4 linked regions of the Saccharomyces cerevisiae S288C genome follow. The protein of the gene in region 4 interacts with the protein of the main gene of each other region in a biochemical or structural test. Each region holds a gene or a part of one and is shown on either strand. Other genes may lie near its edges. The genes, in order: SLD5, SLD3, DIA2 and MCM7.

The links.
Region 1: the proteins of MCM7 (region 4) and SLD5 form a complex in vitro, tested with the Saccharomyces cerevisiae proteins (4 studies listed by BioGRID).
Region 2: the proteins of MCM7 (region 4) and SLD3 form a complex in vitro, tested with the Saccharomyces cerevisiae proteins (4 studies listed by BioGRID).
Region 3: of the proteins of MCM7 (region 4) and DIA2, one has a biochemical effect on the other in vitro, tested with the Saccharomyces cerevisiae proteins (5 studies listed by BioGRID).

Annotation. Positions count from the first base shown.
Region 1 is NC_001136.10:1,428,592-1,435,979, forward strand, and holds SLD5 (DNA replication protein SLD5), read left to right. Parts: upstream 1-2,420; coding exon 2,421-3,305; downstream 3,306-7,388. Other genes in the region: 3,4-dihydroxy-2-butanone-4-phosphate synthase RIB3, read right to left, coding at 1-389; PAC11 (dynein intermediate chain), read right to left, coding at 597-2,198; serine/threonine protein kinase PKH1, read right to left, coding at 3,377-5,677; IZH1 (PAQR-type receptor), read left to right, coding at 6,333-7,283. UniProt on the Saccharomyces cerevisiae protein: Required for DNA replication. Functions as part of the GINS complex which plays an essential role in the initiation of DNA replication by binding to DNA replication origins and facilitating the assembly of the DNA replication machinery.
Region 2 is NC_001139.9:293,088-301,185, forward strand, and holds SLD3 (Sld3p), read left to right. Parts: upstream 1-2,844; coding exon 2,845-4,851; downstream 4,852-8,098. Other genes in the region: YGL114W (uncharacterized protein), read left to right, coding at 373-2,550; TATA-binding protein-associated factor TAF6, read right to left, coding at 5,091-6,641; ribosome biosynthesis protein NSA1, read left to right, coding at 6,891-8,098. UniProt on the Saccharomyces cerevisiae protein: Required for loading and maintenance of stable association of CDC45 with chromatin during initiation and elongation of DNA replication. Also involved in temporal regulation of origin firing. Required for the association of PSF1 with origins.
Region 3 is NC_001147.6:473,047-481,044, forward strand, and holds DIA2 (DNA-binding SCF ubiquitin ligase subunit DIA2), read left to right. Parts: upstream 1-1,547; coding exon 1,548-3,746; downstream 3,747-7,998. Other genes in the region: BUD21 (Bud21p), read left to right, coding at 1-323; Mn(2+) transporter ATX2, read right to left, coding at 429-1,370; TGL5 (triacylglycerol lipase), read right to left, coding at 3,893-6,142; transcriptional repressor WHI5, read left to right, coding at 6,487-7,374; LPX1 (triglyceride lipase), read left to right, coding at 7,541-7,998. UniProt on the Saccharomyces cerevisiae protein: F-box protein component of a SCF (SKP1-CUL1-F-box protein) E3 ubiquitin-protein ligase complex which mediates the ubiquitination and subsequent proteasomal degradation of target proteins. Probably recognizes and binds to phosphorylated target proteins.
Region 4 is NC_001134.8:624,120-632,862, forward strand, and holds MCM7 (DNA replication licensing factor MCM7), read left to right. Parts: upstream 1-1,652; coding exon 1,653-4,190; downstream 4,191-8,743. Other genes in the region: DER1 (derlin), read left to right, coding at 1-92; MIN7 (Min7p), read right to left, coding at 374-577; COS111 (Cos111p), read left to right, coding at 5,049-7,823; LDH1 (triacylglycerol lipase), read right to left, coding at 8,135-8,743. UniProt on the Saccharomyces cerevisiae protein: Acts as a component of the MCM2-7 complex (MCM complex) which is the putative replicative helicase essential for 'once per cell cycle' DNA replication initiation and elongation in eukaryotic cells.

The sequences.
Region 1 (7,388 bases), on a different chromosome or scaffold from region 4:
CCTGGTTTTAAAAATGATTTTGGCGTAGAGGAAGAGTCTGCAAGAGCCCTACAAGTCATCGACCTGTCGTGAGCAGAAATACCTGTGGTAGTGCCTTGGGCTACATCTACAGTTATTGTGTATGCAGTTCCATGCCTGTCGTCATCATTGGATTCAAACTTCATGCCTGTTCTCAGTAGTGGAAGGTCCAACTTATCAGCAATGGCATTCGTCATAGGTGCACAGACGTAGCCTGAGGAATGGCGTACAAGAAAGGCCATTTGTTCAGTGCTGACATTTTCAGCAGCGCAAATAAGATCACCTTCATTTTCACGACCGGCATCGTCCATAACAATTACAAACTTATTCTGCTTGAAGTGTTCTATAGCTTGATCAATTGGTGTAAACATTTTCGACGTTGCCTTTTCTTCTTTTCCTTTCCTTTTTTTTAGCCTTCTGCTTTTTGTTGGAGATATTTACATTCACCTCACATATATACGCCAATGAAAATTTCACAATAGCACGTATATTAATAATAGCCTTGCTTTTTTTTATCAATTCTCGCTAAGAAATTACTCATCAGGCAATAACCTATGCTCACCCGCCTCGAAGCGGCGTTAGGAGATAACAGTGGCCGTGTAGAGGGACGTCTTAGCATCGAAAGCCCAATTTACAACAACGAGGCGACCATCTGCACACCACACTTGACACCGTAGAGTGCGACTATTTTCCCCTCCATTGTTTTTTTCGAGCCAGCGTGCACGTAGTACGGGCCCCCCTAACAACAATGGCGCCCCTATGATAGCTTTCCCTGCTCGCGCGTCCCACAGCCGCACCGTCCAGTCCGTGGAACATGATAATAGAAGCATTAGCCGCCGAGCATCGTCCCAATGAAACTCTAACCCGGTTACCCTCGTAGAGTGGTTTTCTGCAGGTTGGAACCCATTGTTGTCCAAAGAGAGGTACAGCGGCCCAGGTTGGTCCCAGAAAACCTTGTATATACCACCGTCTTCGCCACCGATCCAGACGTACTGCGGGTCCTCACTCGTGTACGCCATGCAAGCTATACCTACCTCATCAAACTTTGCCAACCGCTGCAATCGCTCCGTATATGTGCAAGTATCATTCTCCAAAGATAAAAGCTGTGATAGCGGTACAGGACGGAGCTGCTGTGGCTTCCGCAAAACAGTCAAGTCCAGGCAGCTCAACTCCATAATATTGCCATTATCAGCTGCCACAAGTACTCTCTCTTGATCTTGCACGCTGCTTGTTTCAATTACAGCCACCACTGGGTGCTGAAAGTAGTGTCTTGCCACCATATTTCGCTGCACGACATACACTACCGGTGTTTCTGGCTTTTTCTGTTTCAATCTAAGCTCGTACAATATGATCTTGCCCGTCAAGGTCGCCAACAAGATTGATATTACATTGCTTTCCGGATGATACCGACGGAGGATCGTGGCTGTCATGATCCGCGTACCACGGAACTCTACCATATCTATCAAGAGGCCGTTGCGTCCGCTGGCATTATCGCACTTGACTACATTCACCACAGACCACGCCGCTTCGCTGCTAGCATACTGTAGGTCTGCCGGCGGCAATCGTAGATAAACCACAACCAAGACGCCTTTTCCTGGGTCATACTCCTGAGCGATACAATCGCAGTCTGTCTCTGATTGTAAATTCTCACTGACCATGTTCCATTGCATGAGGTTGTCTTTATCCTGTTGCATGTTCGATGGCGCCTGCTGGCCTGACGCAGAAACCTCTGTCTCCAGCCGCGCAAAACTAGCGTTGCTCAGCGTTGCCGCCGCCTCTTCAACAAGAAAAGGTTTGGCTAGTTCTAACCTTGGCTGGTCGTTTTCAGCTTTGTCTTTATTATTTTCGTCGGCAGCAGTAGTTTCAATGGCGACAGCATCAGTAGTGGTGTGATTTTCATTTTCTTGCAGTTGTTCTTCCTCAATTTGATCTGTTTGAATGCCTTTGTCGTATGTTATAACCTCCTTACGTCGAAGATATGCAGATTGGGGCTCTTGAATCTTTGAGCCTTCCTCCATGTCGGTCTGCACTGAAACGCTGACCATGGTTGCCTTAGCGTGCACCTCTGTGGGATGGTGGCCCATCGTCTCGCTCCCAGGGAACAAGCTGGCTTGTTTTCGCCTCTCACGCAGCTCTTTCAATTGTCTCCTTTTTTCCTCCAGTTGCTTCAATCGCTCCATCTTAATGTTTCAATCCTTCTTCCTCTTTGGTTGATTAACCAACTGTGATGCTCTTTTTTCCCTTTTCTCTTTGTTTACGGCAAAACACGAAAACTAGTTCATTTCTTTTTCTTTTCGCCTTGGACTAGTACTGAAAATTTCAATAGCATTATATTTGAGCCATAGGTAAGAAAAACCAAATTTGTTAGTATTGGGAAGGAGAATAAGATACCTGACTCGGTGATGGACATTAACATAGACGATATTCTTGCAGAACTGGATAAGGAAACTACTGCTGTCGACTCTACCAAGATCACGCAAGGTTCTTCTTCCACTACCCACAGAGATGCAAATACAATAGTGGGTTCGTCCTTAGACTTGAATGACAAGACTCAGATATATGTCTCTCCCCAGCAGGATTTTTCTGACTTGATGAAGTCTTGGAAAAATGAACGGTGTTCGCCAGAACTCTTACCATATCCTCATCAGTTGATGAAAAGATTATTGAATCGAATATCCATGCAATCTCAATTAATTGAAAACATTTCAATGGGATTCCTCGATATGCAAAATGCTTCTAATGCGAACCCGCCTATGCCTAACGAATCTAAATTGCCTTTACTCTGCATGGAAACTGAGTTAGAAAGATTGAAATTTGTTATTAGAAGCTACATACGATGTAGGCTAAGCAAAATTGACAAATTCTCACTTTATTTGCGCCAATTAAATGAAGATGAAAATTCGCTGATCTCTCTTACAGATTTACTATCCAAAGATGAAATCAAATACCATGACACGCATTCCCTGATCTGGTTGAAACTAGTCAATGATTCTATCCTGAAATACATGCCCGAAGAACTTCAGGCTATTAATGATACAGAAGGTAGCGTAAACATGATAGATGAGCCCGACTGGAACAAATTTGTCTTTATACACGTTAACGGCCCACCAGATGGTAAATGGAACGAAGATCCGCTATTGCAGGAAAACGAGTTCGGTAAACCTTGCTACACGGTCACAATACCCGATTTAAAGGAAGAGGTTGAACTCACTATTGGAAGTATTTACGTTATGAGATATGAAGTCATTAGGGATCTGCTGAGAGACGACAAAGTTGCTCTTATTTGAACTATTATGCATTACACTTTCCCCTTCACCATGTCTTACATATGCATATATATATATTATCAAGCACAGTTTCATTTTTCATCTGTCCGTGTCATGTTTTTCCGCATTTGTGTCGATCTTGCCAGCAATTTTGAGTAATTAGATGACGATCGGGTCTGCAACGAAGTGGGACGTTTTGTGTGAAGTGCGCCTTCTTCGGGTGTCTTTAAGATGCAACGGTCCGGTAAACCATTTATTAGCCTATTCGATTGAGGTACGGGAGGAGCTTGATTCTTTTTTTTTGTATTCTGTCTTTTTTGAAGAATGAACTTATCAAACATTTTATGGTCCGACTTCGGCGATACTACTTTAGGTTTGGCGGTCATTCCATTATGTATTAATTTCCATAGTTTCATTAAAACTGCTCTCTCTTTGCATCCTATGAAAATCGTCCTGGAACCGTCAATTTCAAGGACTTGATCACTTATAAAGCGTATCTTCTCAACGTCATTCAACTCTAGTTCGAATTGCAATTCAAATTCCTGTTCTTCCCACATGCTGAGACTTCTTCTCTTGACAAAAACAAGTGCTCTGCCTAGGTTTGTTATTAGAAACATTTTCTTGTAAAATTTGCCTGCACTATCAGTAGGAGGCTCGATATCAAGAGGGTTCTTGTAGTCCAGAGCCACGTTCTCAAGACCTACAGGTGAGTCCTCTAAGTTTCGTGTGGAAAGCGCTACCTCCTTCATCAACAAGACACGTTCATCCATATTTTGCAAGTAGCGTGACCAGAAGGCGTCAGAAGAGCGACTTCTATTATCTTTCCCCCGTGATGTAGTAGAAATTGAAGGAGATGATACAGATGCGCGATTTTTTGAAACCTTCTTTTGAATTACCTCGCGATCTGTGTTGTTGGAGGCAGATCTAACAGATGTGCTTGACTTGCTCCCCAATTTGGGTTGACTTGTATAATCTTTATTGAATGCGGCGGTTGCTGCAGTCATACTGATCACAGAATGCTCTTGAGAGGTCGCTGCTGGTGCTTGCAGGGGAGTATCTGCATGTCCATTACCAGCCAGCTGAAGGTTGGCCATTTTGACAGTGGTATCAGATTCAGAAACCTTTTGCAGGGGCTTCATCGCCTCTGCATTTATTTTATATGGCTGTATCTCCGGTGGATTATCATCCCAAACAGAACCATCTTCAAAGTTGACTTCATGGAAAAAGAGGTGTGCTTTGATCTGCTTTATGGTCAATCTATCATTTGGATCCCTAACTAATAGTTTTTTAACTAAATCTTTTACTATTTGCGGAAAACCTGCAGTAAACGCATATTGAATCTTCATTACTTTTTGGAATGTCAAATATTCATTGGCAGCTTTAAAAGGCGGTTTTCCCGCAAGCATTTGGTACAATATGCAACCAAATGCCCAAATGTCACAACGGGAATCTGTATAATTATCATTCAGTAGCTCAGGAGAAACATATTCTGCGGTACCAACAAATGATTTCGACTTAGCATACAAATCGAAATAAGGCTTGCCATCTGCGGTGTTCGAAGGTTCCTCCGGTAAAATTTTGGCTGTACCAAAATCCGTCAACTTCACTTTCATATTTTTGTCGAGCAATATGTTTTCGGGCTTGATATCCCTGTGAATAATGCCGATATTATGCAAGGAGTCAACGGCATCGATGATCTGCGACGCATAATAGCGTGCACATGTCTCGTTTAAAGATCCATATTTCTTAATCAAGCCCAAGAAATCACCGTGGGGGGCATATTCTAGAAGGAAATACAAGCTTGCCTCGTCCTGGAAAGTGAAGAAAAGCTTGAATATGCCCTTGGTGCCATTCAGCTTCTGCAAAGCCAATTTCTCCACTGTGACGTATTTAACTTTTTTTTGACGGATCAGATATTCTTTACTCAACACTTTTACTGCATATTTCTTGCCCGAATCACGGGCGGTAGCCAGAACAACACTAGAATATGATCCATCCCCGAGTTGCTCTCCAAACTTGAAGTCCTTTATTCCCATCTTGACAACATGCTTAGTTAACTCCCCCGTAGCTGGGTCGACAACATCTTTGACGATTTTTGCCGCACCACGTTCTGCCCATTCTTCTCTTCTACGCCTCATTGAGGGATCAAGACCCATCTCGTGCTGCATACCCGGGTCATCATTTGCCAGGGGAATGAAGCGATTAGTACTAGTCAATGCCTTTTCTCCAAACTGACCTTGTGGAGAAGCCTGTAGTTCAGACCCGCTCTGAGAATTGCTGCCATCTACGAAAGGACGAGGATACTCTTGCGTTTGTGTATGTTCCGCAGATGTCGGTACCAAGGGCTTGGACAGCAGGGCGTGGTCTGCCTCTGTCAAAGACCTATTTCCCATATTAATGATATAGTAGCAGTATTCAAGCAAGTACACGTGCGCAAGTTGTACCAGATAGTGACTGTCCAGCGTTACTTTCTCGCCTGCTCTGTATTACTCTTGTTGTCACTCCGCAATATCTCAAAGCCATTAATATGTACTAACTTGAATTTTTCATGCTCCCTTAAACGAAAATAACCCTACTGAGATTTTCACCTTTATAGGGTTATATGCTAAAATAAGTAGGTCTTATCATGCAACCTTTAGGGTCCAAGCCCTTAAATCCGACAGTCGGGCAAGCCCATTTTCCCAACGATTTTTCAACGGTTTTTTTGCCTGCAGGGCATCGGCAATTTGACAATACTCACGACCGATGGATGCAGCAATCAACGTAAAAACCTTACTTAGCCGGTTACTCATGTATATGTCAGACATATATACACACGCACACATATATATATACGTACATGTTGGCACCCTTCTGTTAATAGAATTTGATTTCTTTTCTAAAGGCATATCAGTATCATCAGTTGAAACAGTAAGGAGCTCCGCAAGCGCAATATTAACTTTACAAAAGTGATTCTGGTTCCTAACTTTTCTATTGTTTTCCATTTTCGTCATTCGTTTTGTTATTAGTCGCCTTAATTGAGTCAAGCAAGATAAAAGAAGAAAAAAAATGAGTATCACCACTACTAGAAGAAGAAACCAAGATAGTGTCTGCTGCAAGGCAACGAGAGCCTCCATTAAGGTGGAAGCTGTCTCAGGCCAGACAGTTTTTGAAAAGCAAAAACTGCTACACAATTTCGATGAGTTGCCAGAATGGCAAAAAGATAATGACAAAATTCTCACCGGGTACGTTCGTGAAACACTGTCATGGAAAAAGTGCTTATATTCTTTATTTTATTGGAACAACGAGACTGTGAACATTTATACACATTTGGTACCGGCTATCGTATACTTCGTGTTTGCCATTACGTTGACCAACTACTTTCTAATTCCCGTTTTCCCCTCCACTTCCTGGTCCGATTACACCGTTATAAACATTTTCTTGATGGGCGCTTTCTCATGTCTCATGTGCAGTAGCTGTTTCCACTGCATGAAGCAACACTCTGAAAAGCAAAGCAATTTCTGGAGCAAGCTCGACTACTTGGGGATTATCAGTTTGATTTCCTGTTCTATGATCCCTATAATATACTTTGGTTACTTCGACCACATATCCTACTTCAGTCTTTTCACGATTGTTACTTTAGTCCTGGCAACATTTTGTACAGTCTGTGTCCTCCACGACAAGTTTAACACTTCCACATTTCGTCCATTTAGGGCCATGTTTTTCATATTGTTTGGATTTAGTGGCTTACTCCCATTGACCACAGGGTTTTTCAAGTTCGGTATCCAAGGGGTTCTTAACAGAATAAAAGTCAGCTTTGTGTTTTGGGAAGCTCTCTTTTACATTTCAGGGGCTGTAATCTACGGGTTTAGGATTCCTGAAACTTTGGCTCCAGGGAAGTTCGATTTCTTCGGTAGCTCTCATCAAATATTTCATATTATGGTGGTTCTTGGTTCTGTATGCCACTTGAAAGCCATTATCGATTCTTACAAATTAATGCATTCTCATATCCACCCTTGATGGGCCTACAACTACTACAAAATCAAATAAATAACATTATATATCTAAGGTTAGAAAATAATTAAATGCAAAAAAAGTCTTTATTCCTTTTTAGATATTCGTCAC
Region 2 (8,098 bases), on a different chromosome or scaffold from region 4:
ACCAATATATTTTCATCTTGCTTATTTTGGGTATAATTCGGCGGAAATTCGGTTATAAAGCGAAGTGAAAAATCGATTAGTAATGATACTGATGCGATCTCTGGGAGGGGGGAATGCTGCATATAAGGGTGAAGGAAGATAATGCAAAGCCTTTTGTAGTATTGTCTGTTGATACCAAAATAAATTAGTTCATCAAAAAGGTACAGGCAGCTAAAGAAAAGCTGTAAATTTAACGCCGTAGAAGGTATTTTTCGTGAGATCTATCTCAAGGCATCATTTTTTTTATTTTCGCACCAAGATAGGAAGAAAAAGAGTCACAGTATAGAGGACTAACCGTTAAAGATTCTAAATCGGTACTGTAAATACTTTGAAATGCCTCAATCTACTCCAAGTCAAGAAGTACAGCGTGTACCATGGGATAATAAACCTGCTTTGAAGCAGATAACACTCCGAGCAACCATAGCAGGTATCGCTATAGGGTCTCTGGTGCTAACATCAAATTTTCAATTTGGCCTGCAAACCGGTTGGGTTTCCATGATGTCCCTGCCATCGGCATTGTTAGCTTGTGCTTTCTTTAAAAATATCTGGCCATTAATATTTCCGAACGACAGGCCTTTCAGTGACGTTGAAAATGTATACGTACAAAGTATGGCAGTAGCTGTCGGAACAGGCCCATTAGCCTTTGGGTTTGTCGGCGTCATACCTGCCATCGAGAAGTTCCTTACTAACGACGAAAGTGGTGGATTAAGGGAACAAGGACAGTCCTTCACTTTTAGAGAATTGTTAATATGGTCCACAGCCCTAGCATTCTTCGGTATTTTTTTTGCAGTTCCTCTAAGAAAGCAAGTAATTGTTAGAGAGAAACTTCCCTTCCCCAGTGGTAGCGCCACGGCCACTTTAATTTCAGTGCTAAATGGAACTGAGATTTTACAAGAGGTTTCTAAGTCAGAGTTATTGGAAATGAGGCAGAGGAGATTGAATGAATGCCCTGAAGTGCTACAACCCAACAGAGATCCAGAGGAGGCGGATTATTTAATGAACTCTTCTCATAGCGAACTTGGTGATTATACGGCAACTAGCCAAGATGGAAGTTCTATCCTTTCTACTGGCTCTGAGAACTACAGAGCGAATATTATTATTTTATTGAAAACTTTTGTTGTTTCTTCGCTTTACACCATGGTGTCATATTTTGTACCGGTAATACGGTCTATTCCAGTCTTCGGAAAATACCTCTCGAACAATTATCTCTGGAATTTTCAGCCGTCGCCTGCGTATATAGGCCAAGGGATAATAATGGGTCTTCCAACAGTATCGTATATGCTTATCGGGTGCTTCTTAGGCTGGGGTGTGTTAGCACCATTGGCGAGATACAAAAGATGGGTACCACCAGATGCTGATGTCCACGACTGGGAGGAGGGAGTGCAAGGATGGATTCTTTGGTCGTCGCTTTCAATAATGGTTGCTGACAGTGTAGTCGCTTTTATTGTTGTGACAGTGAAGTCCATTGTGAAATTTATTCTTATAGATGACAAAGCTGCTTTACTGAACAACATAATCGATGATACATTTCAATCTATGTTACTGGAGGAGGAACGCGCCATTAATAGCAGCAGAAGAAATACATATGTTGATGGAAGGCAGGACACCGTAAGATTAGTGAGTAGAGATAACGAAATAGAAGTAGATTCGAAGCATTTGGTTCGCTATACCACCGTTATCAGTGGATGTCTAGTCTCCTCGATAATATGCATTGTTTCCATAATATATTTGTTTGGGATACAAGTAATTCCCCTATATGCTATTATCACTGCTTTGATACTTGCGTTGTTTCTATCTATTCTCGGTATTCGAGCACTTGGAGAGACCGATCTGAATCCTGTGAGCGGCATTGGTAAGATCTCTCAATTGATTTTTGCCTTTATCATACCAAGGGATAGACCTGGATCAGTGTTAATGAACGTGGTATCGGGAGGTATTGCAGAAGCCTCTGCCCAACAGGCGGGCGATTTAATGCAGGATTTGAAAACGGGGCACCTCCTCGGCGCCTCCCCAAGAGCTCAGTTCTGTGCCCAATTGATAGGGGCCTGTTGGTCAATTATTTTGTCTAGCTTCATGTATTTGTGCTACAATAAAGTTTATTCAATTCCGAGTGAGCAATTCAGGATACCGACAGCAGTAGTGTGGATAGATTGTGCAAGACTAGTAACTGGTAAAGGGCTCCCTGATAAGGCCTTGGAGTGCTCCATGATTCTCGGAGTCATATTTGCCGTTTTATCATTAATCAGAAACACTTATAGAGATTACGGATACGGGTGGATATTATATATTCCGTCTGGTGTAGCAGTCGGTGTTGGTATATTTAATTCTCCCAGTTTTACAATTGCAAGATTCATCGGCGGGTGGGCTTCGCATTTTTGGTTGAAGAATCATAGGGGTGACTTAAATGCGAAAACAAAAATGATTGTATTCAGTTCGGGGTTGGTCTTAGGTGAAGGTATCTTTAGCGTAATAAACATGCTCTTCATCTGCTTAAATGTCCCTCACTATTAGGTATATAATATTTTACTAATAAAGAATTTACAAAGTTTACAAATTTTAAATTATTTACTCATCACATAATTCGATGTCTTAGATTTCCCTGTATATATATTTCTAGGTGACAAAAATCCTAGGCAAAATGTTATATTATACGCGACCTTGAAATATCGGCTATCTTGGTGTACAACATGGTCCATTTAAGAAAAATAAAAAAAAGTGATGGGCACTGTTAAAACAGGCAGAAGCCTCATTCATAACTGCTGAAGGGTTAAGATCGTATAGGTAGGAACGATCTGACCTCTCATAATGGAAACATGGGAAGTCATAGCATCGGTAAAAGAAGCAACAAAAGGCCTTGACTTGAGCTTAGATCATCCACTTATTATTAAATCCGAGGACGTGCCCAGTAACATTCTCCAATTACTGCAACAGAAGAATCGACGTCAATTGAAACACATCTGCATGAAATCAAGAAAAGAGTATTTTCTACTAGAGGAATATGGGCCAGGATTTTGGGTTAAGTGGCCGTACAATTATTTCAATGGTTACAGCTTACCAGAAAGGCGTACGGAAGTTGTAACGACAGTTGAAAGAGAAAGAGCTAAGCGTGAAACGTTAAAAACATGGGACGAATTGAAATTTAAAGAGCTTCTTCATTTATGGTCAGAAGAACCCAAGGGCTCGTGTAAGCTTGAGAAGGACAAAGACCTTAAACTGGATATGAATCCCCCAGATATGAAAGGCGAATCAAAAATTAATGACTACTATTCAGACCCTAAAGAGTACATAGAAAGTAAGTATTATGATGCTCTTTTTTCCATACATACGCCTCTCGCATATTTCGTCAAGTCAAATTTAGTAAGGCTCAAAAATACCTGCCGAACCAAGTACGGAAGTGACAGTTACAAAATAGCCTATCAAGCCATGCTGCAAAAATTTCTTCTCTCAATTGTACAATTCAAAGATAGACATGATAACAGGCTTTTATTAGAGCCCTTTTCTAGTCCCATAGCAGATGAAAAAAGGAAGAACTGTCTCACAAAATTTGTTATCCAAGATGAAAACAAAAACAGCTCAACCATTGCTGATTTATGTGTTGTATTAAAATCCCGCGAAATAAAGCTACAAATATTATTGCTATTAGAGATAATAGGATTGAACGATTTAGATTGGAATTTTAGAGATTTTGAGAAAAAGTATAAATTAAAATTGAAGAAAAGATCACTTAATTTGACAAAAAAGGGATTAGTTCGTCGAAGATCGAAGAAAAAAACCAGCGAAAAAGACAAAGGAATCGAGAGAATAACAACATCTTTGGATTATTGTGAACAGTTAGACTTGTACTTAGATAGAGCATGCATCTTGGACATTCTACTATCAAGTGAAACGCCCAACCCAGATGCCATAGAAGCATCAAATGGAACAATACAAGAGCATAAAAAAAATATCCTAGACAAAAGCAAAGAAGCCTCATTGGTTGGGTTCATAAATTATGTTCTTATTCCATATTTCAACAAAAAGGTACCACACGCCGTTGAATTTATAATTCAAAAGCTCAAGGGACCAAGCATGAGACCAAAGAGAGCCCTGAAAAAGGTCAACGATAGCACAAATGTATCGTCACCTAATACTGTAGAAACGTATAACAGGTTATCCACGAGTCAACGTGCCTCTCGCTCTTCAATCATTAATTCCGTCCCATCTTCACCCGCATTGAGAAGGGTGGACGCTAATTTGTTCAGCAGAAAATCTATAGCTTCGCCCACCCCTGAACTTTTGAATTCTAGAACGAACTCTAACTTGAATGAATTTCTCGAAAGTGAAACTAGAAGCTTAAAGCGCCCTTCACAATTGGGAAGGACGAAGTCTGATCTAACGATGAATCATTTACAAAAACGGCAGTTTTCTGTCTCTGACTTAAGCACAACAAGAGTACCGAATTCATCAACTATCACACTCAAAACGCCTTTCTCGCACTCAACTATTAATGCATACAAAACTATGAATAACTCTTTTCGCAGAGTTGGGAAACGTAAAGATATCAATGAAACGATACGCCTACATGAACGTGTAGACTCTGAGGAAAACGTACAAGTTCAAGCCACTCCTGCTGTGAAAAAAAGAACTGTGACACCTAATAAAAAGGCGCAACTTCAAAGCATCATTGAATCGCCGCTAAATTTCAAGGATGATGATACGCATGAAGGCAGAAAAAATACCTCCAATATTACCTCTACTCCCACTAATAAGCCCCCGGAAAATAGCTCAAAAAGGAGAGTAAGAAGACGTTTATTTGCTCCAGAATCCACATAGAATAAGAAACTGCGAGACCACCTTCGCTGGCAAGTAGTTGACCCAACTCCATCTTTGTAGCTTTTCTTGGACGAAAAGGGAATAAAATAAAACTAAGCTACAACAATTTCGCACTTCGGGGGCCTTTGAGTATACAATTAAATAACTCATCATGCATATATATATATATACATACAATGGCGTATGTAAAAACTGTTATATAACATTACCGTTGTACTATTAGTATAAACCGATTCTCACTATTCGCCAAAAAATATCGCACTAATTAATTCTTTTGCGTCGTCTCTTTTCAAAATGTGAAATCCAATAGTGACACCACACCTCTCTAGCAATTTTTCCTTATCCTCATCCGTAACTTTTTCACCTTTACCCTCGTACAAATCTGGTAAATCCTTTTTTAGAACTAACAATGCACTAATTACAGTATCAACCAAGATTTGAGTTTCTTCTTTAGTAAATTTGGTCCTAGTTGGATTGGAGTCATCGTTCAAATGTTCCTCTATATTGTCTAGAGTTATTCCGCTTTCATTGAATACCAAGCGCGCCCAATTATTTAGGTTTCCTAAGAAGAATCTGATGGATTCACCTTCTAGTACCGATACACCCTTTAAGCACCCATAGTAAGTCCCAAAAACACGGTTTATGTCCAAAAATGTCTTTAGCAGTGTCCTAGTTACTCTTGGCTTCAGGGATTTGTATGCTTGAGGAAATTTTTTCAATACATAGTCCAACAAAGATGCGGCAAAATCACGTAGTGCATTCGTTCTTTCTAAAAATTCATGAATTTCTTGCGGCGAATCATCTTTTGGTGATCCACCAAGTTTTTTTGCTAATAGCAAGGTTAAAATGGAAGGCATTAACGAATGAATATAAGGGTCCAGGAAAATAGAAGTATTGCTTAGTAAAGAGTAAATCATTTCCAAAATTGTTGTTAGCAATTGTAAATCGGAAAGATTTTGTGTGATTTGTTCGGCAATAAATTGAATAAAATATGGAACCAGTTGGTGCAGGCCACTATCAGTTCGTAGTGAAGTCAAAGCTGCTTGTTTCATATGCTGTGCAGCTTCATCAGCTTGACTCTTCGCTGTCAAGGTTGAAATGACCTTATTGAAATAAATCTGTAATTCTTTGGATAAAACGTGTTTCACTAAAGGTTTGACTTCAGTATTCTGTCCTGGTTTAACATTAGACAGGTGTTGAGAGGCGCCTGTATCCGTCACAGAAGCACTTGCTGTCGTCGACGTTACAGGTGTTTGGAGGCTGTTATCATTCAAAGCAGTGACAATAGCACCTCTAATAAATGGTGGTTGGGATACCCTTATATCATTCAAATTTGGATTTTGGATTATGGCAGGTTGAACCCCTTCAACTGCTAGCCAATGTGTAGTAAAAGTTGGTAGACGAGGCACTTGCGGTAATGGCTCATTTATTAATCTATCAAAATCTACTTCTTCCTCATCCAGGTAGTAAACCGACTGTCCTCCACTTGTGTTAACCTTACTAAATGATACAGCTTTATTAACTTCAGAGCCATCATAATATCCATATAAAGGTTCCACATTCAGAACACGCAGGGCCTTCGATACATCGTCTGTAGTTAAAACATCTCTTTTAGAGTGTCTTTTAAACTTGACTGCCTGTTCAATAATCTCTAGAATACGGTATTCAACGTCCATAGCAAGTGCTTTCAACACGTCATCGTTGATATTTTCCAACCCAAGCGACTCAGCGACATCTTTAACAGTATCTTGTGGAGACCAAATTGTGTAAGATTGCTGCTGTGTAGACATTTTAACAGGCTATCAACTACACTGAGGCGTCCTTTGCTTCCTTTTTAAAGCCAATCTATTGTTTTCGCTCATGAACTACTTTTGCTGCTACTTGAATCGGTGTTTGTTATTGATGGTTTCCGGGTATTTTTTTGGTAATAAAATAAAGCTGAAAAATTTTGTAAAGCGATGCCCAATCTCGAAGCCTCACTTCAATGAACATAATACAGAGAAAATTTAACCATAAATAGGCCCAGCTTCGATCGTAAAATGAGGTTACTAGTCAGCTGTGTGGATAGTGGATCCATAAAGGAAGTTTTGTGTAACATCGGGACTGACACTTCCGTACAATCAGCACTGCAGCCTTTTCATGTGGCACCTCATCTAGCCGAAGGATTGAAAGCTTACGTTGACAGGATGTGGGTGATATCCGAAGATGAAGCCATCTTAGCAAGGAATTCAGGGGTCGTCGAACTTGTAAAGATTTCGAAACACCTTAAAGAAAATGAAGCTCTCCAGGTCGATCCCAAAGGAGAAAGCAAAAATGAAAAGAGCCTTTCCGATGATCTACCCAAATTTGACATATCCGAGTTTGAGATAACCAGCTCAGTTTCAGACCTTTTTGATGATGCCAAATTGGAATCACTTTCAAGTAAATCTGTTAAAAGAACCAAGTTGGTGGATGGTTTTGTCACATTATGTCCCATAAAAAAGGATTCGTCGAATAACACATTCGTAGCTGCTACCAAATCGGGATTATTACATATTATAAAAAAAGGAGAAGATAAAAAGTTAATAAAACTAGCATCCCTTGGACTGAAAGCACCAGTAGAATTTCTTCAGTTATATGATCTAGAAGATACCGATACTGATAAATATATATTTGCATACGGAGGGGAGGAGAATTTAATAAAATTAGTGGAAATAGATTCGAGTTTCCAATCTTTAAAGCAAATTTGGGAAGCCAAGAATGTTAAAAACGACAGGTTGGATATGAGAGTCCCAGTATGGCCCATGGCCCTAAGATTTTTGGAGCCCTCCCCTGGTAAAACTGAAAAGGGTAAGCTGAACTACCAGTTTGCAGCCATAACCCGTTGGTCCCACCTCACCAAATACAGCACACAACATGGCAGAAAACCGTTCGCTCAGATAGATTTATTACCTAACCGTGAACCATTATCTCAGATGGAAGTTTTTGATGCCAAGGGAGAAAATGTTGTCTCTTCGTTGGGGAATTTTCAATCTGAAACCTTTAATGAACTGAATGTGATTACTACTGACTACAAAAAGAATGTTTTTAAATTCGATGGTAATGGAAGAATGTTGGGCAAGGTGGGTAGAGATGATATCACTGGTTCGTCAACCTATATTCATGTACATGACGGCAAATATCTTTTACAAGGTGGTTTAGATAGGTATGTTCGGATCTTCGATATAAAAACTAACAAAATGCTGGTGAAGGTTTATGTTGGGTCCCG
Region 3 (7,998 bases), on a different chromosome or scaffold from region 4:
TAATTGCGGAGCTTCCTGAGGAATTGCTAAAAAATATAGATCAGAAGGACGAAGGTAGTACGCAGTACTCATCTTCAAGACATGTAACTTTCGATAAATTGGATGAGTCAGATGAAAATGAAGAGGCATTGGCTAAAGCTATAAAAACTAAGAAAAGGAAGACATTAAAAAATTTAAGGAAAGATTCGGTGAAAAGAGGAAAATTTAGAGTTCAATTGTTATCCACCACACAAGATTCTAAAACATTACCACCAAAGAAAGAATCATCCATCATACGTTCAAAAGACCGTTGGCTAAATAGAAAGGCTTTGAATAAAGGGTAATATATAGCATACAACATAATAAAATAATAGTACAATCACAAAATTAATCATAATGTTCATTTATCTATAATCAAACAATGAGAATATATACTGAAGTTTGGTAGGTTATTCTTCAGAGATGCAGTACGATATCACCAACGGTATGCAGACACCTATCAAAACATAAACGGATTCATCATGAGGTAAAACGACTTCCTGTTCAACGCTGAGATCGTGATCATGAGAATCTCCACCAACAAATGCTGTGAAAGACGCATATAGTAAACTGCCACCACTCATAAGCAGAAGATTTCCACTTATCCAATCCATCGTTGGCGAATGACTCAGATTCAAAAGGGATAACACTATGTATCCGATCGGAGTCGATGACGCAAACAAGAAAACGTTACAGATCACCTCCCATTTCATTAAGTTTTGTCTCGATACCATCAAACTAGTGAGGGAAAGAACGGCAGGAATTTTATGAATAACTATAGCAATTAACACCACTATGAGCAGTGAATCATTGTTCGTTGTCGTACCTAATGCAATTCCATCAGATAGTCCATGAATGAATAAGGCAAAGACAACATTGTTTTGTATTAAGTTCATCCATATTTGTCTTGGATGGTTTATTATATCTTTCCAGCTTTGAAATTTGACAGCATCATGCGTATAGACCGTTTGCTTTCTAGAAACCCATAGTGTAACCAACCTATCAAGAACATAAACACCTAGAAACCCAATTAATAAATTCACACCAACGTTTCCATCATGTTCGACACACGCTTTGATACCTTCCGGTATTACCAACATAAATGATGTACCTAACAACATTCCTATACCGAATTGTGATAGAACGGCAATCTTCACACGGTAACTACTAACATCGTCATTGATCGTTTGAGTATCTGCGTTCGTAGTAAAATCAGAAATTGAGTCAGCACCTTCTTGGTTTGTGACAATGGAACTTTTTTGTTTATCAATATAATACAATGGGATAAGCCCTATGAGGAAGGTAGCAATCAAAAGAAAACTTGCTAGCAGTATTACACCCAAAAACTTCATTATTATCGGTCTTGGTAACACTAGCTTTAAACCGCGCTTATTTGAGAAGTTTTTATGCAGCTAAACTGTTTCTCGTCATTTTTTTATAGTTATTTCTCGAAAAATATTATAAATAGACATGCAAAATGATTAGCCATGTCGTATAAATTTATTACCAAGAACAAAAAATACACCCCGATGTCTTCCCCAGGGAATTCAGGCGTGGCTATAGATTCTACCGTTCTGAAAGCAATTGAATTAGGAACGAGGCTTTTTAAATCTGGAGAATATTTGCAAGCGAAAAGGATATTCACAAATGCTTTGAGAGTATGTGATTCTTATTCTCAGGAGCAGATTATGCGCATTAGGAACGCGTATCAATTAGATACTGCGAGACCGGATAACAAACGATTATATCATCCTAGATACATAAAGATATTGGATAACATCTGTGCGTGCTACGAAAAATTGAATGATTTGAAATCTTGTTTGGACGTATCACAAAGGTTACTTAAGTTAGAACCAGGTAATATCAAATGCTATATACGATGTACAAGGACGTTGATAAAATTAAAAGACTGGAAAAGGGCATATAAAACATGTTCTCGTGGACTGCAATTATGCAATAACGATAGCAATCATCTAAGACAACAAAAACAATTCATTAAAAATAACATGGTTCAAAAACAGGACGGCAAGAGAAGTTATATAGATCCATTAGAGGAGACCAAAATAGCAAAAAAAAAAAAGAATAATAATGTTCTAGAATCGTTACCAAAGAAGAAGATTAAAGGTAGTACCAAGAAAACTGATTTAGTTGGCAATTTGCCGATAGAAATACTACCTATCATATTCCAAAGGTTTACCACTAAGGAGCTTGTTACGTTGTCGCTAGTTTGTAACAAATGGAGGGACAAAATTTTGTATCATTTAGACTGCTTCCAAGAATTCAACTTGGCACCAATAAATTTTAAAAATTTTGTAAAGTTTATGGATTTTTTACAACAGAATTTCACCAGGACGTATAGAAAATATATTCTTTCACAAGTAAAAGTCAGTTCTAGAATCACTTCGGAAGAGTTACGAATAACTCAATTATTATTCAGTAAAATGCCGAAATGTATAAACATCGAACGGCTTATACTGTCAATGCCAACACTAACTACAACACAAATCTTTAAGTTAATGGTTAGAGGAGGCACAGATTTTTTTACAAGGCTGCTGGAATTATCTCTCATGATAACTTATAGGCCTGATAAACAACATGAATTGGAGATACTGCAGACTTGTCCTCTGTTGAAAAAAATAGAATTAATTTTTGTCAATTCACTGGTACCAATTTTCGACGGAAATAATAGCGTTGGGAGGGATGGAAGTTTCAATGTGATGGCCCGTCATACTAATATGCAGATATCCACTGCGGATAATGATGAACAGGGAATAGTAGAAGAAAAGGTGATTTATAGTGAGCTAGAGAAGATAACATTGATATGTGATAAGAAGAAAATTAAGAATTTTCCACTTTGTCGTGCTCTATTAAGAGGCCAGTTTCCTCTATTGCAGAAACTGACGATAACTGGTGTAACATTTCCTATGAATAATCAAGACATAATGAATTTTCAATGGCTATTGAACTTCCCAGACCTAAAAGAACTATGGATAGAAGATAACGACAACTGTGAACTCAGTAAGTTTTTGCAATTGTTAAAATTTTCGAATGTCTGGAAAAACTTGGAAAAGTTAACCTTTAGAGAGAACAAGCTATATCCAATTGTTAATTTGGATGAAGATCAGCCTGTTACGAATGACGACGAGGTGCCATCCATGCTATTTTACAAGGAAAATCTCCAAAACCTGGAAAAGTTGGATCTAATGGGGACATCGATAAGTGGTTCTGCGTTGACTAGATTATGCGAGCAGGAATACTTGGATGGTCGGAAATTAAGAAGTTTAAACATTGGGAATTGCCCCAACATCCAGTTCCCAAATAATCACGCTCATACAGCAAGGATGATACTGGATGTGAATGCAGTTTTGAAGAGACTCTCCAAGTTGGAAGAAATAAATTTATCGCATCTCAGCTCCTTGAATGATAGTACGATGAAGTCATTCATTATTAATGTACCATTTTTGGAAAATTTAAAGAGGCTTGACATTTCGCACAATTTTGAAATTACAGGAATATCAATATATGAATTTCTAAAAAAATTTCAGATGGATCATGACAACGAAGCGGGAGGTCAACCACTGGCATATTTAAATATTGACGGATGTTCCCAAGTGTCTCATATCACAGTTAATATGATCCGAGCGCAGAACTTAGTTACTCAAGTGGATTGTGTTTATGAAAGAGATGTATGGAGAAAATTTGGAATTAATTCATATTCATACTCATAGATTAATAAATCACTGATGATAATGCAGTATCCTTCGGAAAATTCTTAGAATATTTAATATAACAAAATGGCATGTACCTTTTGGAGTTGATGGAGGTGAGAATATAGAAAGCTTTTTATATAAAAATGTACTTATTGTCTTTCATTTCAATTTTGAAAAATGTCTGAATTGTTCATGAAATTGTCGTTTGTGGCAGCCGACATAGCGTCCATGGGGAACCTGCTTGGATTGAATAAAGTGTTATCAAATGAACCGTTTTCAATAGCCGGTATGGGAAAATCTTCTGAGTTTGTTTGAACATCATAAGAGGAAATTGTTCCAGATTTTTTTCTATTTTTCCTCATCTCTGCCGACATATTTTGATTATAATAAGAAGATCTTTTTTTGAATTGAGGTCGTGATGGAACCTTCAATGGTGATTTCTTTAGCCGTAAACTAGATGCACCGATGGCAAACGATAAAGAATTTGCCTTCTGCCTTGTACCCTGCTGCGTGAATGAAGATTTTGAACGTTGTGGAGATGTAGAAGGCGATGGAGAAGGCGATAACATATCCATTTTCCTCTTGTTGAAGGTAGAAGATGGAGAAGGCAATGGCTGAAGAGGAAATCTTCCCGGTGCCGCTGTTTTGTTGGGAGACTTGATAATTGATAGTGAATTGGAGGAGGATTCTTCCAAGTCAACTCCCGGCAAGTCAGCATCCATTATGGAAAGAGATTTGATTTGCTCACTGAATCGAGGTTGGTAGAATTGTAAAGGGTTTTTTATTGACGAAGAGATTATTATTTTCTCCTTTAGGAATGTGATGGCCTTATCCAAGGCGAATTCTTGGCCACAGTTATTTTGAATCATGGAAATTTTCGGCCAAGTAGCTCTTGCACCTAAAGTAGTTTGGTGCAATAGGAAAAGTTGAGATGGGTTCTTCAATACTTCGTGGAATTGACCAACCATTGATAGATCGGGTAAAATTGTGACATTGCCAGAGTATTGTTGTAAAAAAAGGTGTTTCAATTTGGTCATCAAATAGGGATGGAACTCAAGCTCCTTTAGGATGTCTAAAAAATGAATAGTTTCGTCGGAAAAAAATTTGAAGATCTTTGTTACTTGGTTTCTGAAACGGGCGGTAATTTCCTTTTCAATTTCACCCCCAACGCAAGTGTTTGAAAACTTTAACAGGGGAAAGACATGTATATTTACCTGGCAGGCGATAATGTGGTCGACATTGAACATTTCAGAAAGACGAGAAATGGGCATGTCATTATCTACAGATCCGTCCATGAATTTCATGTTTGATAAATGTAAATTTGTTGCCCCCCACTCTTTAATCTTTCCAGTGTGAGGATCTTTCTCGAATAGCGGCGTGGAGGGGAAAACTCCAGGTAGAGAACAAGATGCGCATACGGCAGACCAGATGAGAACGTTTGGAGCGGTTAAATTGTTTAGTAGTTTCGGCTGTTCGTATATGGAAGCAGGCGAGACTGTGATATTCAGGATTTTTCCAGTCTTGTTGTAGGCTTCCCTAAAGGTCAAGTTTCCTAAAAACGAAAGCATTGTGTTAATCAAAGGTTGATTATTGAACCAGGTACCGTTTTGGCAGAACCTCGATATCTTGATTAGTAAGTTTTCGTTGGGAGATTTGGAATTGTCGTCATTGAAGATGTTAAACTCCATATTAAGTACATTGGTCAACAAGGAGGGAATTTCCTGGGTCGTGTGGACGCAAAATATGCTGGCAACAATGGCGCCAGCACTGCTACCGCTGATCACCTTAGGCATCAGGTCCGATTCAAAAAGGGCGGCAAGAACACCAATGTGGAAAAGGCCGAAAGTGCTCCCACCGCTAAGCACGAGAGCCGTGCGCCCTATGTTTCTTCTCGTCTGTTGCAAAATACCGAGGAGATAGTGATCGTTCATATTTGACTGATGGATCAGCGCGGTGAGCACTGCTTGAGACTCTTCTAGGTAGTCATGTATAATTTGTTTTGTGCCGGTATGCGAGTGCCTGTAAAGATTAACGTTATTCATGTTGCCAAGATTACGGACCCACTTAGTTCTAATCAGATAAAGCAGGCGGTGGTAGTCGTGAGTGGTTCTCAAATGGCGCATACGGATGGTCAAGTCTTGCAGCAGCTTATAGTTATACAACGAGGACTCGTCGATTGTTTTCCATTCGGAAAGTCCCGTTAAGTCGTCTAATCGCGACGCTATGTCATTCCATTGATCGTAGGAGATGGCGTGTTTTTTCTGGGAAGACAAATCGGATATGAGCAGCTGTTTACGGGAGAGAGTCTTGTGGTATAACCATTTGAAGAGCGATGATGAGTCTGTGGCAGGAGTGTTGGAAAGTTCGTAGTATTTGGATAAAAGAAATTCTGTTACTGGCAAGGTATTAGACATAGCAACGAAACAGAACCGTCTTCCTTGTGCTGTTTATGATGTCTTTTGTCTCCTATTGTTTTCGAATTTTATTTTTTTTTTTTTTTATTTTTTTATTTTTTTTTGTTTTATATAATTCCTCGCGCTGCCTTAATGATAATTCTTGATTTACTAATTGTTTCATGACTTCTGGTGCTAAAGGGAAGGGGGAAAAGGGAAGCGAAAACTTCAAGAGCAGAACGAAAAAAATAAAAAAAACAAAACAAAACAAAACAAAACAAAGGCAAAACAAGGCAAAGAACCTGATGGAAGAAAGCACAACCAGATATTAATAGCAACGAAAAATAGTAGAGACATTGAAGAATATGAGTTTGAGAACGCCGAAGAGAAGCAGGACTAGCGATGAACAAGAACAAGAACAAGAACAAGAGCAGGTACAGAACCCAGATACACATGTAAACAACGAGCATCAGCAGCGACCTGGGCCAACCACTCTATTGAGCACGCCAGTACGTCTCAAAAATGGCTTTGGAACACCATCGCCGCCGTCACCACCAGGCATAACGAAAAGCATCACTAAATCGAGAAGAAGGCCGTCGACAACGAGTCTTCAGGGTATATTCATGTCGCCCGTCAATAAGCGTCGTGTCGGCATAACCGCACATGGACGTGTATATGACCATAACGACGACGGACACGAAAGTGAGAGTGAGGACGACGAAAATGAAGAAGAAAATGAAAATCAAAAGAAGTACGACGGACACGTTAGTATGCCTTTGTTGCCACCGACAACGCCCAAGTCAAGACGGTCGGAGGTGTTTCTGTCGCCGTCGCCGCGTTTGAGGTCACCTCCGACGGCTGCGCGTCGGTCTACGGGCGAGCGGCCCATCCGCGAAATATCACATACTTTGCGCACCAGGCTCAATTACGCGTTAGTCAAGCTGCAAAATGGATGGACGGACAAGACACTTCCCGAGCTGGAGACGGAGCTTGCTCCAGCAGTGCAGACGCCGCCACGTCGCTATCACAACAGATTTCCAGATAGTGCAGACGCGGGTACTTCCGCGCATACAGCGTTTCTTCAGGCGCTCGGAGGCCACCCACCACGGGAGGAGGCCACGGCTGTCGAAACACTGATGCTATTGTCGTCGCCTACCAAGAAGCAACAACACCGACCCGTGCCGGCGACATCTGCTGGAGAACCCACGGACGAAACGGAGCCCGAGTCGGATACCGAAGTGGAGACGTCTTAATGTGGTAGTACGAGTTTTTTCTCCGCAATCTCGGAGTTAGTGCAGCCGCGCCCGCTGCTGCACCCTTTAGCATATATATAAAGTGCGTAATGTGCGTGCTAAAAAAGCTCACTAGTGCGTACTCTGCTTATCTCTGCGTATCCGCCGATCAACATCCGCGGCTAAAATGGAACAGAACAGGTTCAAGAAAGAAACGAAAACTTGTAGCGCTAGCTGGCCGCGCGCACCGCAGTCGACGCTGTGTGCGACAGATCGCCTCGAGCTCACATACGATGTGTACACTAGCGCAGAGCGGCAACGCCGCTCTCGCACTGCCACTAGGCTTAACCTTGTGTTTTTGCACGGCAGCGGCATGAGTAAGGTGGTATGGGAGTACTATTTGCCGCGTCTGGTAGCCGCCGATGCGGAGGGCAATTATGCCATCGACAAGGTTTTGTTGATCGACCAGGTTAACCACGGTGATTCTGCGGTACGCAACCGCGGCAGACTCGGCACCAATTTCAACTGGATCGACGGGGCCCGCGACGTGCTCAAGATTGCCACATGCGAGTTGGGCAGTATTGACAGCCACCCGGCACTAAACGTAGTCATCGGCCACTCGATGGGCGGGTTCCAGGCTCTTGC
Region 4 (8,743 bases):
TTTACTACATGGATGATATAATAGGGAAGATTTATGGCATCGATTTGTGTAAATCTCCGTACGACTGGTTCCGCAACACTGAAACACCCTAAAGGAAAGGCCGTTTTTATTTACCAAAAACCAATAACAAAAGTGAACGCTTGATAAACAAACATACTTAGCATAAATAACTACATATAAAATAGGCCAAGGATAAATGAAACGTTGACTAGAATGAATGAAAGATGTGAAAACAGTACAGTTAAAACTGCAATCCCACAAACTAAAAATAATATGAAGAACCTGTCTCAAATGTATAAATGCAGAATAAATAAGTAGCCGAAAAAGTCTCGGTAATTTTCTCCCTAATGATAACCCATATTTTCGAAAGACTCTAAAACCTGGTGTATGATCGTTGAGAACAAAATTCGTCCTTGTAGTAGTGTGTGTCTTTAGAAGCCATTCGGGCCGGTAGAAGGAAAGGTGTTGTTAGTCCCAGAGTGATGTAAGCAACATAAAACAACGTCGTCAGCTTTTTACTGGGAGCACTTGCCTTGTATGATTTAGAAACTTGTGAAAATGATTTCATGGCCAGCATTGTTAGTCCTCGATCTTTTGTGATATTTCCTATATATTACAAAAAAATTCTTGGTTTTCGCCTTGTCACAGGGAATAAATGTGGAATATAAAAGAGAGGAGAGGAGAGGAAAGAAGAAAAAAAACTTGGTGTCCGTTTGCAGATGGCCTATTATATACCCTGCTTATATAACTCTGAGAATTAGGAATATTTTGCTGTTGCTATGGTAATTAACATATTTCCAACAATAATGACCTTCTCGAGCTATTGTCTTCCTTGCAGTGGCGAAGAAACCACCGGAGAGTTGCAACGAACTGCCTTTCTTAGGAAGTGCGCGGGCTCTCTATTATGATAGGCCGATACGGTACAAAAGCTTAAAGTTGCCTTTGTATTACCTTTTTTAATCGCAGCAAACAATGCGAAGCACAGGTGTTCACTTTCCTTAGCTTCCCCTTTTCCGTGCTTTTGTTTATACTTCGTACAAAAATGAGGGGAAGGTACCAGGCAGGATACCTCACTGATTACGACGACAAGGAAAAGAGTAAAAATAATTTACTGTAAAACTTCCAAATTTGTCTGAGAGCAACAGAATAGAAGCACAAAGAAATGTACCCTACGAGAGACAGAGAGGGTAAAAGAGTAAGTAAATTCTAAAGTGGTGTGAATGTCATAACTTAAACTATTACCCACGGGATACCTGCTAGGTCAACGTAGCCGCTACTCGAATATAATAAGCGCTTCTTGTATATTTTCTCAATAACAGGTCGAGGCCCCTTCTACCCTTGAATGCTACTTATTACTCACTCATAATACATTGTATAAGCCTTCGCGTTTTTCACGGCCTCGAAAAAATTTTTCTTAACTAATTTACCCAGAAAGGAAATTTCCTTATAAGGAAAATAAATGCAATTCATTAAGTCGGTTTGCTTCTTTTTTCACGAAAGTGAGATACAAGCAAAGGACCAGAGCGAGATGTACTACAGTAGCAGGCTACATACACGTCTTTACCAATAACTTACATTTAGAAAGGCAATATAATCACTACCTAGATTAGCTTGAATCTTGCAGGAAGAACTCAATACAGATAGACCAGATTATGAGTGCGGCACTTCCATCAATTCAGCTTCCTGTCGACTATAATAATCTTTTTAATGAAATCACCGATTTTTTGGTGACTTTCAAGCAGGATACGTTGTCTTCTGATGCAACACGAAATGAGAACGAAGATGAAAATTTGGATGCTGAGAATATCGAACAACATCTATTGGAAAAGGGGCCCAAGTACATGGCGATGCTACAGAAAGTGGCTAATAGGGAACTGAATTCCGTGATTATTGATTTAGATGACATTCTACAGTATCAAAACGAAAAGTTTCTCCAGGGCACACAGGCAGACGACCTTGTGTCTGCCATTCAACAAAACGCTAATCACTTCACTGAATTATTTTGCCGTGCCATTGACAACAACATGCCGCTACCAACAAAAGAAATTGACTACAAGGACGACGTTCTTGATGTTATTTTAAACCAAAGGAGACTGAGGAATGAGAGAATGCTCTCGGACAGGACCAATGAGATCCGAAGCGAAAACCTCATGGATACCACGATGGATCCACCCTCTTCCATGAATGATGCGTTAAGAGAAGTTGTCGAGGATGAAACTGAGTTATTTCCTCCTAATTTAACTAGACGCTATTTCCTTTATTTTAAGCCTCTATCGCAAAATTGTGCTCGTCGTTACAGGAAGAAAGCAATTAGTTCTAAACCATTATCTGTTAGGCAGATTAAAGGTGACTTCCTAGGCCAATTGATTACCGTCAGAGGTATTATCACCAGAGTTTCTGATGTCAAACCAGCTGTGGAAGTTATCGCATATACCTGCGATCAATGTGGGTACGAAGTTTTCCAAGAGGTCAACTCTCGTACTTTTACTCCGTTGTCAGAATGTACTTCCGAAGAATGTTCCCAAAATCAAACAAAGGGTCAATTGTTTATGAGTACACGAGCTTCCAAATTTAGTGCCTTTCAGGAATGTAAAATTCAGGAGTTATCACAACAAGTGCCAGTGGGTCATATTCCTAGGTCGCTAAATATCCACGTTAACGGGACGCTGGTAAGATCTTTATCGCCTGGTGATATCGTCGATGTAACTGGTATATTCTTGCCAGCGCCCTACACCGGTTTCAAAGCTTTGAAAGCTGGCTTACTGACAGAAACTTATTTAGAGGCACAGTTTGTCCGTCAACACAAGAAGAAATTTGCGTCTTTCAGTCTGACTTCTGATGTAGAAGAGAGAGTTATGGAATTAATCACCTCTGGTGATGTTTATAATAGGCTGGCAAAATCTATTGCACCGGAAATCTACGGTAACTTGGACGTAAAGAAAGCGTTGCTGCTATTACTTGTCGGAGGTGTTGATAAAAGGGTAGGTGACGGTATGAAAATCAGAGGTGATATCAATGTTTGTCTGATGGGTGATCCCGGTGTTGCCAAATCTCAACTGCTGAAGGCCATTTGCAAAATATCACCTCGAGGAGTGTATACCACTGGTAAGGGTTCCTCAGGCGTTGGTCTGACCGCTGCCGTCATGAAAGATCCTGTCACGGATGAAATGATTCTAGAAGGTGGTGCCTTAGTACTCGCTGATAACGGTATTTGTTGTATCGATGAATTTGATAAGATGGATGAAAGTGACAGAACGGCAATCCATGAAGTTATGGAACAACAAACAATTTCGATATCCAAGGCGGGTATCAATACAACTTTGAACGCCAGAACCTCAATCTTAGCGGCAGCAAATCCGTTGTATGGTAGATATAATCCTAGATTATCACCTCTGGACAATATAAATCTACCAGCTGCTTTACTATCCAGATTTGATATTCTCTTCTTAATGTTAGATATACCAAGTAGAGATGACGACGAAAAATTAGCCGAGCACGTTACATATGTGCATATGCATAATAAACAACCGGATTTGGACTTCACTCCAGTAGAACCCTCTAAAATGAGAGAGTACATTGCCTATGCTAAGACAAAGAGGCCAGTGATGAGTGAAGCTGTAAACGATTATGTGGTGCAAGCTTACATCAGATTAAGACAAGACTCCAAGAGAGAAATGGATTCCAAATTTTCCTTTGGTCAAGCCACTCCGAGAACTTTACTAGGTATTATAAGATTATCTCAAGCGCTAGCAAAGTTAAGGTTGGCTGATATGGTGGATATAGATGATGTGGAGGAAGCCTTGAGGTTGGTCCGAGTCTCCAAGGAATCATTGTATCAAGAAACCAACAAATCTAAAGAAGATGAAAGCCCCACAACGAAAATCTTTACGATCATCAAGAAAATGTTACAAGAAACTGGTAAAAACACGCTATCATATGAAAATATTGTGAAAACTGTAAGACTAAGAGGGTTTACCATGCTACAATTAAGCAACTGTATCCAAGAATATTCTTACTTAAACGTCTGGCATTTAATTAATGAGGGTAACACTTTGAAATTCGTGGATGACGGTACCATGGACACAGACCAGGAAGACTCACTAGTGAGCACGCCTAAACTCGCACCACAAACGACCGCTTCCGCTAATGTGAGCGCCCAAGATTCTGATATCGATCTACAAGACGCTTGAAAGTTCTAAAAAAAAAAGCAACAGGGCCTTCATTCTTTATTCTTTTTCCCCCTTTTTTTCATTTCCATATAGCTGCACATTCAAATTTACCTTCTGTAACTTACTTCCAAGGCCCAGTTTTCAAGATATGTATTCTGTATTATTATAATTTTACTAATATTATTCATCGCTTTTGCCAGCCACAGACCCCACACATTTCGGACTTAACATTATGACTGCGCATGTCCGTGCACCGCGGCCCAATTCTTGTTTTTTTTTTTTTGCGGAGAAAGGAAAATTATCTTCAAGCGGAATAGGGCCAGCTAGTATTGCTCAGATGTGCCTGTGGAGAGCCGTGCTACAGGGTACCGTCAGCCCCTGAGTATACCAGAGAGTACACCGTGCGGAGTTCTTCCAGAAAATGAAAAGATTGTTCTCAGAATAATTCGTAGCGCTTGATAATAATCCGAATTTGAGATACCTGCCGGCACCCATTCTGTTATCGCCAAGAGGACTTTTAGGGGACCCGCAGACAGTAAAATTTTTTTCATTCATTAACATGTGAAGGCAACATTCATCGATCTCCATCCCTACTGTCAAAAATATAAGTATATATATATATATATTTATATAGTCTATATATATATAGTCCCACTCTCAAACTAATATAACCTTTACAAACCTGTCCGCTCAGTACGGTAGTCCTATTTTATTCCGTTTACTAGATTATATTTGAAGATATTTTTTTATTCTTGAAAATCCCGGACGATAGTATTTTTAGCTGAAGAATATTTGCGGGGAGGAACTATATAGACACTCGAAGCAAGAGGGGAAAAGGAGAAAGAAAAAAAGGTACACTAAACAAGGTCGAGTGTATTGATGTCAAGTGCTTCAAGACTTCAAAACGTCAATATTGTTTCTAACAACTATTCTCGTTACGGAACTTCCGTTTACGATAAGTTGTATCATAGTAACGGCAGTGGTAGCAATAATGCTGGTAAGAATTCTACCACAGTTGGTAAACTGTCATCTATCTCACAAAAGTCCAGGAGCAAACAGCGTCATGGCTCAAATTGCTCCAGATCAATGAGTCAATCACCCTTATCGACGTTCAAATCTCCACTCAGCAATCAAAATCAATCCAGCGCTCCTGATGATTTGGCTTCCATAGGTCAGAGACGCAGTGACGACGTCACATCTTTAGATAATGAAACTATCATAACGATGAATTCAAGGAAATCAAGGATTAAAAAAAAGTATAAATCCTTAATCTCCACCTCTTCAAAAAAATTTATGAATAAATTGTACGATCATGGTGCTTCATCCGACTCATTTTCTATATTTTCTCTGAAGACTTCCCATTCTGGTAAACATGAAAATTCCAGATTTGAAAAGCTGAGGAAGAGAAAATACCATGCTTGGGGCAAATTTGCCGATATCAACGATTTACCAGTTGAAATAATTGCCAAAATACTTTCTGAATTCGAGTTAGGTCGTGATCAAAAGACACTCGTAAGATGTCTATACGTATCGAAGAAGTTTTATAAGGCGACAAAGATCGTCCTTTATAGGCTACCTTACTTCACTTCCACTTACAGAGTGGCGCAGTTTGTCACCTCACTAAGATTACATCCGGATAACGGGGCATACGTGAAAGTATTGGACCTATCACACTTGAAGCCGGGAATTATAGGCCAAGACTCGAAGGATTCTCAAGGCCTAGACGATGATGGCCACTCAAGGCGTCACAGACGCCGTCGCCGCAGATCTACTAACACAAGTTTGAATCTACCTCCAGCTACTCCAACATCTACCATTTCTAACGAGGATGATGCCAATAGCGGATTAATCAAAGACGACGCTTCAAATGGCAGTGAAGTTGAAGACTTGGCATTAGCTGGTTGGAGAGACTGGAGATACAGAAATGAACCCCTTTATAGCTCTCCTCTGTTGAACAGCTTTAAACTGAAAAAAGTGGTTTCTCGTTCTTCTTCTATCACTTCTACATCTTCTGGAAATTCCACCGGTGTTCACTCTACAAGGAGACAACGTTCCAATAGTTCCGTTGCTTCCATAACGACGAGTATCATGTCATCCATCTATAACACCTCCCATGTCTCATTGTCTTCAACCACGTCTAATACCAGCAATGGTAACATCTCTTCTGGTAGTAATCTGTCAAGAGTTTCCACTGCTGGATCATTGAAAAAAGCTTCTGCGAAGTCCACAAGGTCATCTCCTCAGAAAGCAAAACCTATATCTGACATTACGTCATCTTCCTGGTTTAGAATGAGGTTAAGTTCAAGAAATAGAAAGGCAAGGACAGCTAATACGATTAATTTAAAGAACTCGAAGGATAAGTCTGACGATGACTTTAAAGTTTTAAAGCACGATTCGGGGCATCCATCCAATTATCGTTCTTCGACATTAAAATTTAGCATTGAACAACCATTTAGTACGCATCATCCGTATGCCAACAAATTTCTTTTAAAGTACGCTCCTTATAAAGATCTGCCCCTAGGTTATATTTTACATATGCTGAACCTGTGTCCTAACCTTGTTGAACTAAACCTTTCCAATTTAGTTATTTGTACCGATTTCAAATTAATCAACCAAAGATCCGAAAGAAGAAGGATGACATCTTCACTGTTGCCCGCTGTCCAGGAGTCTAGTGTTTCTGCAGGCCCTGAGAAAGATTTAGAAATTGTCTATATGACCGATTCTGGCAAAGGTTATGAATATTATGAGGGGTTAAGCAAGAAACACTCACGTTCTTCAAGCCTAGGTACCAATCCATCTAGTTGGATTGGAGGTCAGGCGAATTGGACAGATTACCCACCTCCAATCGATGCACAAACGAAAACAAGAGAGGAACACAGACGCAACAATACCTTGAACAATAAGAACGTCGTATTAAAGAAGCTAAACCCTTTTGAAATTTTTGAAATGATCTGCAATAGAAATGAAGAAAAAGGTGGCTACTGCTCCTTAACTAAGGTGAAAATGAATGACATTGTGTGGTGCAGGCAATATATGGTAAAGTATTTTGTAATGAGGACGTTTCGCCAGCATTTGGATTATAAATCCATGGAAAACAACTCTTATGAAAGACACTTATTCAGTTTCCGGGACTCTGGCTTGGATAGAAATTTTTCCTGGGCTTGTAATGCCAAATTGCATGAATTTGTCGCATTGATGGTTATGGATCATCTTTCAAATTTAGATGATTTAGGATTAGAAGAGCTTTTTAATATCAAGTCCGAAAAGCTATATATAAAAAACTATTGTTGCCGAGACCCGGATATTCTCGAAATATCAAACTTATTTGATATTAGATATGGGGCCGGATCTGAGGCTGATGCTACTTCTGATTCCAATCTCGAAGCAGAATCTTTACAATTCAGGTTGACAATATTAAAAACAGAAAAGCCAACTTCATTTTGGCTCACAAAAGTTTCCAAAGATTATGTTTCTTTAGTGGTTAAATTATGTGTGGATGATGACATTGATATGGACAAAATGAAAGTTGGAAAACCAACTTTGAGAATAGACAGTATTACACACAATTTGATTAGTAGGTTAAAGGAGTTGAGGAGAGTTGATCTAAGGAGAAATGTTGGCGAAAATAACTACTATGCTGAAAGCATCATATAACGACTGCTCTCTTTTAACAGCATACGTTCTGTTAATTTATTTGGCCAAATATTATTGATGTTTATTTTTTTCTTTTTTGCATAGCCTTTCTACATTTCATGGCTTTATTTATTTATATTTATTTTTCGTTTCCTATTTTTTTGCATACATAGACACTACCTTTGATTTTTGCTTGTAAGATGTACGATATAAAGTATACTATGAAAAATTTGAAAATATTGGTCTTAGTTACTTTTTCTGGTTTGTTTTATCAATTCATGTAGCAGTGTGCACGAAAATCTAGTTACGCAATGTGAAATCTAGAAAACCTTCTACAATTTGGAATTATCAATCACCTCTCGTTGAAAGTTTTCACACACCAATTCTGGACGGTCGAAGCATAAATTATGAGAACAGTCAGGTAAAATAATCACTTTACGAAGACATTCTTTATTTATAGTTTGTTTGTAAAATTCCAAATTTTCAATAGGAGCTATAGGATCTTTTTCAGCGCCAAATATTATAATTTTCTGTTTCATATCCGTTTGCGTCAATACACCATTGAATTTAACCCAATCAACAGTTTCCCATCCTAGTAAATAACCTATGATGGTTCTACTTTTGTTGCTTATGTTGTTTTTAAATTGCCAGAACTTCCTGTATTTCAACTTGACATCATCACCTTGTTGATAAAAATACTGCTTGATGCCGGAACTTTGTAGACCTTTTACCTGATCGAATTTGTTTCTATAAACGTCAAATAGCCATGGCAATTTAAACACACCATAGAGAGCCCACTGGATAATATGTTTATCCTTAGAAAGCTGCTCGATATGTGCTTTGGGGGGCGTCAACAAAACTAGCGTTTGTACCGCTTTTGTATCAGCCATGTGCTGCTCGTAAAGATGACATGCCAGAAAACAACCCATAGAATGCCCTAC